Schizosaccharomyces pombe: one gene and its partner. The gene in region 1 interacts genetically with each later gene. Each region holds a gene or a part of one and is shown in the gene's direction. Other genes may lie near its edges. The genes, in order: akr1 and ubc6.

Region 1 (3,932 bases):
AGAATGCATCGGCGACGGAGAGTGAGTTACTAAAGGAACATTATCATTTTTCGTAGAATTTTCAAGTGATTGTAATTTTGTTATAGAGGTAATATGAGCGGGAAGTTTTGTAAATAACTTAATCAAAAGAGGTTTCATATTATTGGTATTGCCTTTTGTTTTCTTATTTTTTAAAGTCGAGAACAAAAAGTGTATCGTGGTGCTCGAAGGATCTTCCTTTTTAAACATAATTGGCTTTCCAACTTCATGATTTCCATCTTCATTTATTTCAAAAGGCGTAACACGAACTAGTCCACCTAAAATAATAGACTGACCGAAACGAACACGATACTGAACAGGCTTACTTGTGAGTTGCTTATTTCTAGACCTTGTTTTAGGTACGAGACTTGTCAATAGCTTAGTATCAACCCAGGGTAATAAAGATTTCAAGTTACCACGGTATCCAGGAGTATCAAAAATTAAGCCTTCAGATAATTGCTTAAAACAGGAACCGAAATATTGTGTAGGATACCCTTTTATTGCTTGAGTGGTTCCTGGTAAAAAACTGTCAAGCAAAAGCTCATTAAAAACACCATTTCCCCGTTTAGCCAAAGTTTTTAGCAATGTAGATTTTCCAGAATTTGCTTCGCCTACGACATATACATGACCTCGCGAACATAGCAAGGGATTTATCCTTCCCAAGAGCTTATCAACTAGGTTGAAAGAATGCGATGTGTAAAGCATAGCATACTTTGAAGAAATTCCTAACCCAGGAAACAACCAGTATGGCTTTTTTGGAGGTAATACATCCGCATGCGTAAATAAATGGAAAACTGGGAAATGAGTGTATTGAGTAGCTGAAACAAAATCTTGAAATATAACTTCAGTAACATCTATAACCTGTATTATCAAACAAGTACTTTTATCATTATTCACCGTACTAATGATATCTGGTAGAGTAGTCTGGGGTTCTTGTAACAACTCCTTTGGACGTATGCGAGAATGAAATTTTAAATCATGACATCTTTGGCACCATAATAAATCAGTTCTTCCAATCTCCTTTTCATGAAAAGGAAAACTCGTTGTATTTGGGAAATGCTTTTTTATTTGTGGGTTGAGATTTTTAAAAGCATTATTAAAGATTGCTTGCTCATCGAGATTTTTCTTTAATAAATTAGAAACTGAACCTTTGCTAAAAATGCCACTTAATTTTAGTGGCTTTATATATCCGGTAGCAGACTCGTTCGCGGACTGTAATGTTTGTCCACATCCCCGGCAAAACTTGGTAAAACTCATGGTAGAAATTTAGTTTTATTAAACCCGTTTGGTTTTGTTGTAATAAATCGGCAACAAAAATTTAGAATATCGCTGAAGTAAAGATGTTTAAGGTCTGATAGGATAGAGAAAAAGCTTCAAAAGCTGTTATTATTTACAGAATAAGGTGAATTCGATAAGCTCTAATATTAAGTTAATTGCTTTTGTTAATCATTTCCAAACTCAACATCTATATATTGAAAAGAAAAAGTTCCTTTGTTGGATTTGATATAAGGGAATTTCTCATCTGCTGTGTAACAAACAATGTATTATTTTTAAATGTAATTATCCTGTGCTGGAAGTGGATTGGATTTGAAGCATTTTAAGCCAGCGAAATAGAAAATTTCCGGGGATCAACGTACTAAACACTGGTTTAAGGAAATTTCTTTTTATTTGTATAAAAATAGTAAACGCTCCAAGTATAATTCAGTTTTTGAACACCATTACTGATGGAGTGATAGTATGACAGCAGAATAAAGGTTGCTCGATTCACCACCAATGAATCTGGCGAAAGGCTTGCACCGTACTATAGACACCATTGAACCAGTGTGTCTTTCTACGAGCAAAATTATTATATTTATAATTACTTCTTTTCGTTTTTATTCATGATTGTATGTAATTTTGTACGATTAGGAGTTTGACCACCAGATCTATTCCTATTGTTCTTTCATATTTGCCTGAAATTTGCAACCTCCCGATTTACATTTTGTAACAATTAGTGACCAACAAAATCATTGAACTGCACCTTTATGGGTTCATTATTTTTAGCCGCTAGTCAGGGAGAACTTGACACAGTTAAAAATTTGATATCTTCTGAAAAGATAGATGTTAATGCTACAGATGAAGGTGGAGCAACTGCATTACACTGGGCAGCTCTGAACCAGCAAATTCCAATATGTAAATTTTTGTTAGAACATGGCGCCGATGTGAATGCAATAGGCGGAGATTTACAGGCCGCTCCAATACATTGGGCTGCTAAACGTGGCTCTGTGAAGACTGTTCACTACTTAGTTCAGCATGGTGCGGACCCATTACTCAAAGATAAACAAGGTTTCAATTGTTTGCATTTGGCAGTCCACGCTGCAAGTCCTTTACTAGTAGTATATTTGTTGCATCTCGATATTTCTGTCGATTTACGTGATGATCAGCAGCACACACCTCTGATGTGGGCTTCATACCATGGGAATGAGCCTATAACAAACTGTCTTTTGCGATGGGGTGCAGATGTATTGGCTACAGATGAAGATAAAATGACCCCTTTACATTGGTCCATTGTAGGTGGAAATCTAAAATGCATGAAACTGATTTTAAAAGAGGGAGGCATTCCCTGTACTGCAGTTACCGCTAATTTAAGTGGACAGCTGAAAACCCCTTGGGCTCTAGCGTCAGAACTTCGCGTCTCTCACTTATTTAAACAGGCATTAATTTCAAATGGATTAAAAGTTAAAGAAACCTCTGAAGAACCTGAAAAATGGGTCGTTGTTCCTAGTAAATTTCAATTTTCGCAAAAAACATTTATTATTTTTTGCTTTTTATCGTCCTTTATAATTACTGGCGTCTTTTTTTTTATTATGTCAATTTGCCCAATGGTCATCTCCTTGATAATCGCTCCTTTGTGGATTTACTTTACGTTCAAATATATTACAACATGCATTCATGCGAATATTGACATAGTACATTTCTATCTTGAAACTCCATTCTTGGCTGGCATATTTTCCTCAATTTTCTTCTGGGTATGGTGTCATTCTTTGTTATATATAGTACCTAAGACGTTACCCATAAAACCTCTCTCTTCTCTTTTATTTGTTTTGATTTCATTTACTTGTATTGGATTATATGTTCGTACAGCTTTTCAAAATCCTGGATATGTAGACAAAATTGGTGCCGTCGTTCAACGTCGTGAAGAAATTAGCAAATTATTGGACAAGGATCTTTTTAATCAATCTCATTATTGTTTAAAATGCTTTCAAGTTAAGCCTCCTCGTTCTTATCATTGTGGAGCTTGTAAAAGGTGTATTAATCGTTATGATCACCATTGTCCTTGGACTGGAAATTGCGTAGGGGCACGGAACCATAGAACATTCCTTCTTTTTGTCTTCACATTGTCTACTTTAATTCCTATTTATTTTTACGTTGCATTTTATTATTTACAGAATATCCCCATTCAAAAAAAATACGAGTCGTATAGGTGCCTTTTTATTTCTGGTACCATATGCCAGTGGTCTTTAAAAGACATGTTTGTGTTAGTTGCTTCTCTAACTTTGTTTGTGAATTGGTGTTGGGTAGTTGTTTTAGCTTTTACCCAGATTTGTCAAGTTGCTCACAACGTGACCACAGCCGAATTCCGACTATTTAAACGATATGGAACTCTCGTTCCTCCTACAAAGCAAAATTCATCTCCAAAAAATGGTCACGGAATTCATGGAAGCTTTCTACGTACAGTATGTGGTATCCTGGGATTGGATCAGTGTATATTGTTAATTAGAGAATCAAATTGCTTTGTGAGATGTTTCCCATCGAGAGCTGAGTTAGGTTCCCAAAATTCTACCTCTTTGTCTCGTAATCTTTCCACAGTCAATCCATATGATGAGGGTAGCATAATTAAGAACTGTAAGACATTTTGGAAGCAAAACTTTCTT
Region 2 (3,518 bases), 670 kb from region 1:
TTCATAGGCATTTTGAACCTTTTGTCCGGCAGAAGTGCCAGCAGCAGTTTCAAGAGCTTTGTGGAAATATGTGCTAACCAAAGAAGAGGTGCGGTTCAATTTGTCAGAAATGGCAAATTTATTATCAACCTCATTGGCCTTTTCGGTGACATGATAACGTTCGTTAACAGAACGAACGCCAGACAAAGCAGACTCGAGGATCCCCTTGAATTTTGAAGAAACGCCATAGCTTTGGTCTAGTTGAATACTCTTTTCCAAAGTTACATCGCTCAAATGATATCCGCGACTTAAAAGTTCAGAGATTATAGCTGAACGAGGCTTGTCTTCTTGACGAGCGGCTTGATCGCCTCCAGCACCTCCTTGATCGGTAGTAGAAGCAGCACCACCATCTTCACTGGTGATTTGGATTTTGTTTTGTCCAAGGAGAGCATCTTGCAAAAGTAAGGCCGTCTTGGTGGCGCTAGGGCGTTCAAATTGGATTTTCGCGGTTTGGGTTTCTCCAGATTTCTCGGTAGAGATGTTGGACACTTTACCGCAGAAAGAAAAGAAGTCTGAGATTTGTTTCTCAGTAACTTCAGGAGAGATGTTCGTTACAATAACTTGGTTGCTCATTACTTTTGTTTCAACTGGTAATATGGAGATTCAAAGTACGTTGAGTGCCATGGAGGCTGCTTTTAAGTAGTGATCATCGATGACGACATCCTCCCAATTACGATTAGATTGAGCCCAACGAAAAAACCACAAAAATGCAAAATTTCCTGACATTTCTAACTTGCCCTTAGCCTATATCACGGAAAGTTGACTTTGTGCTGCTTTGTTAATGCCACTACTTCATACTTTAAATCTGATATTACATTAATGAACGTGTGTTTTCAAAAGATTGCAATTATCGCGATAAGTGAGCCTAAATCAAAATGAAGCTGAAAATAGATGACAATTATCTTTTTATCTGAATATCACGATACAATTTTTATTGGTCACTGTAAACTAAATAGGATAACACTTAGATACTTTGCTGTACTCATGATTTCTTGACTTGGTATACTAGTTGGCTTTGTTCGTTGCATGGCAAAGTGCATAAATTGTGGAAAAAATATCCATTAAATTGCTATTACGAAGTAATTTCCGCTTCTACTATGTTTCGATAAATTCATAAACTTAGGACCGACATTAATTTTCCCGATATCGGCATATCCGGACAGTGAAAACTGATGTTTCTAGAAAACCGAATTTGCTGGATCGCCTTTACGGTCTTTCTAAAGAATGCGAAAGAAATATATGAATAGATTACCTCGCTTGTTCCTTTTCTCATGTTAGTCATCCAAATTGTTTCTTATTGAATAATGAGCAAAATTATCAGGTATATTGAGAAGGCAAGAGAAATATAAATGTTAGACCTACAATAAGTAAAACAAAGATAAGTTAAAGGCTTTCCTTGCTTCAAAGCATTTTTTAATCTATTTTCTCGATCTTACTTCCTCAATGTACATAGGTTAACAATATTTATATTTTACATTTGGGCTTAAGCTGCGTATAGAGAAAATAAAATATCATAAATATCATAGGTATATTGCTACAAAAGATAGAAATGAAAACCTCTTTTACAAGTAACTGTGTTATATTTACGAATTGGTGATTTGAATAAACCGTTGTACTTGAAGTTGGCACCTCACCTCGGAGTTTGTTGGTGTTTTATATTGATTAACCTACAAAGACACTTAGTCTAGTAGAGATTGTGCTTTGAATTTGTAAAAGACAAGAATCACCTAACTAGCCGCTAACCTGGTAATGTAACTGTGAGCGGATTATATGGTTACATGTTTTCTCACTTCCACAAACTTCACAAACACAACGATGGCGTCGAAAGGTGCTTATAAACGGGTATGGATTTATAATTTTAAGCTTCTTCTAATTATTTTAGTTAATGAAAGAATATCTAGCTCTTCAGAAAAACCCTGTTGAGCTTGTTGACGCTAAACCTGCAACTGAAAACATTTTGGAATGGCATTATATTATCACTGGCCCTCCGGACACTCCATATGAAGGAGGACAATATCATGGTATGTTTCTTTTAAATTTCCTTCTGTAATCAATATGTGCATGAACTTTTGGCTGTTGCCATCCTTTGCTAACTTTGCGTACAGGGACATTGATTTTTCCTCCCGATTATCCTTTTAAGCCACCTGCAATTCGCATGATTACTCCAAGCGGACGTTTCCAAACGAATACCAGACTTTGTCTTTCTTTTTCTGACTTCCATCCAAAATCCTGGAATCCCTCATGGATGGTTTCTACTATTCTGGTGGGACTCGTTTCTTTCATGACTTCTGATGAGATTACCACTGGAGGTATTGTAACTTCGGAGTCTACCAGGAGAACTTACGCAAAGGATACGAAGAGATTTAACATTATGGATAATCCTAAATTCTTAATAATGTTCCCCGAGTTAATTGACAAAAATAGGGAAGACATTGCCAAAGCAGCTGCTGAAGCGGCCCTAATCGAACCCCAACAAATTCACTCCACTCCTGTATCTTCCAATGAATGCAAGAAGAATGAACCGTTTAATTCAAAGCAAAGCTGGGTTAAAAGTCGCTGGAGCATAGCAGTTTTGGTGTTTTTTGCCCTTGCTTTAGCTCGTTTTTTTGGAGCTGATTCTTAAGATGTTATGCTTTGTATTTATTTTATTAACTTATGAAAGCGTTTTTGCATTTGATCCTCCGATAAAGAGATTAATGCCAAATAGCGCTTTGCCGTCCTTATATGTTTATTTTTTTTCTTTCGTTGCCTGTTGCCCCTTCATCTCTGCATCACATGTCGCGCTTCAATTAAAACTAAATGGAAGTTAATCTTTGTTCTAGTTTCTTTTTATAGACAATTGTCTCTTAGCAATTGCTTGATTTTTAGCTTACTAAACTACATTTTTTTAAATGTCGTCAAATGTTATTAAAGCTTCGACATTTCGGTAGAAAATAAAATTAAATTTTAGTTACTCAATTCATTATTTGTGATTTTCTTCAATCACTATCCAACTCGTTGCATATCCAGCGGCCACAATATAGGCCCAGCCTGGTAATTGAAGAGTTTTTGCATCATAAACATCTCTTTTATCATCATTCGAGGCATTTCCATGCTCATTCCAACCGTATATTAAAACACTTCCTTTCTTTGTCCTTAAAATATTGTGCTCAGTTCCACTGGCGATTTGGACGATATCACTTGCTTTTGTATGGGCCTTCTGAGCACGATCACAACGACCAAAAGCATAGACACAGCCTTCAGTACTTAATAGACTCAAGGTAGACCAGTTTGCTGATATAGAGCAGATGGAAGAAGACAATTCACTGTTATTTGCTTGCCAAGCATCACATTCTGCTGCTACATTCCACTTCTCCCCTCCTAAAACAATTACATGTCCTGTTTCTTGCAATACTGCACTGAACTGTACACCACATACAACAGCTTGAGCATGTTCAATACGCCCGAGAAATGAAACCTTGTTAACTGTTTTCATAACT

The links.
Region 2: mutations in akr1 (region 1) and ubc6 together harm fitness more than expected from each alone (negative genetic interaction), as found in Schizosaccharomyces pombe (one large-scale study listed by BioGRID).

The regions. Positions count from the first base shown.
Region 1 is NC_003424.3:548,969-552,900, forward strand, and holds the start of akr1 (palmitoyltransferase Akr1), read left to right. Parts: upstream 1-1,799; 5' UTR 1,800-2,042; coding exon 2,043-3,932. Other genes in the region: gep3 (GTPase-like protein), read right to left, coding at 1-1,275. UniProt on the Schizosaccharomyces pombe protein: Palmitoyltransferase specific for casein kinase 1.
Region 2 is NC_003424.3:1,214,265-1,217,782, reverse strand, and holds ubc6 (ubiquitin conjugating enzyme Ubc6), read left to right. Parts: upstream 1-1,834; 5' UTR 1,835-1,854; coding exon 1,855-1,881; exon of another isoform or gene 1,882-1,921; coding exon 1,922-2,060; exon of another isoform or gene 2,061-2,144; coding exon 2,145-2,662; 3' UTR 2,663-2,995; downstream 2,996-3,518. Other genes in the region: RNA-binding protein Vip1, read right to left, coding at 1-612; RCC domain-containing protein Ats1, read right to left, coding at 3,002-3,518. UniProt on the Schizosaccharomyces pombe protein: Catalyzes the covalent attachment of ubiquitin to other proteins. Functions in degradation of misfolded or regulated proteins localized in the endoplasmic reticulum (ER) lumen or membrane via the ubiquitin-proteasome system.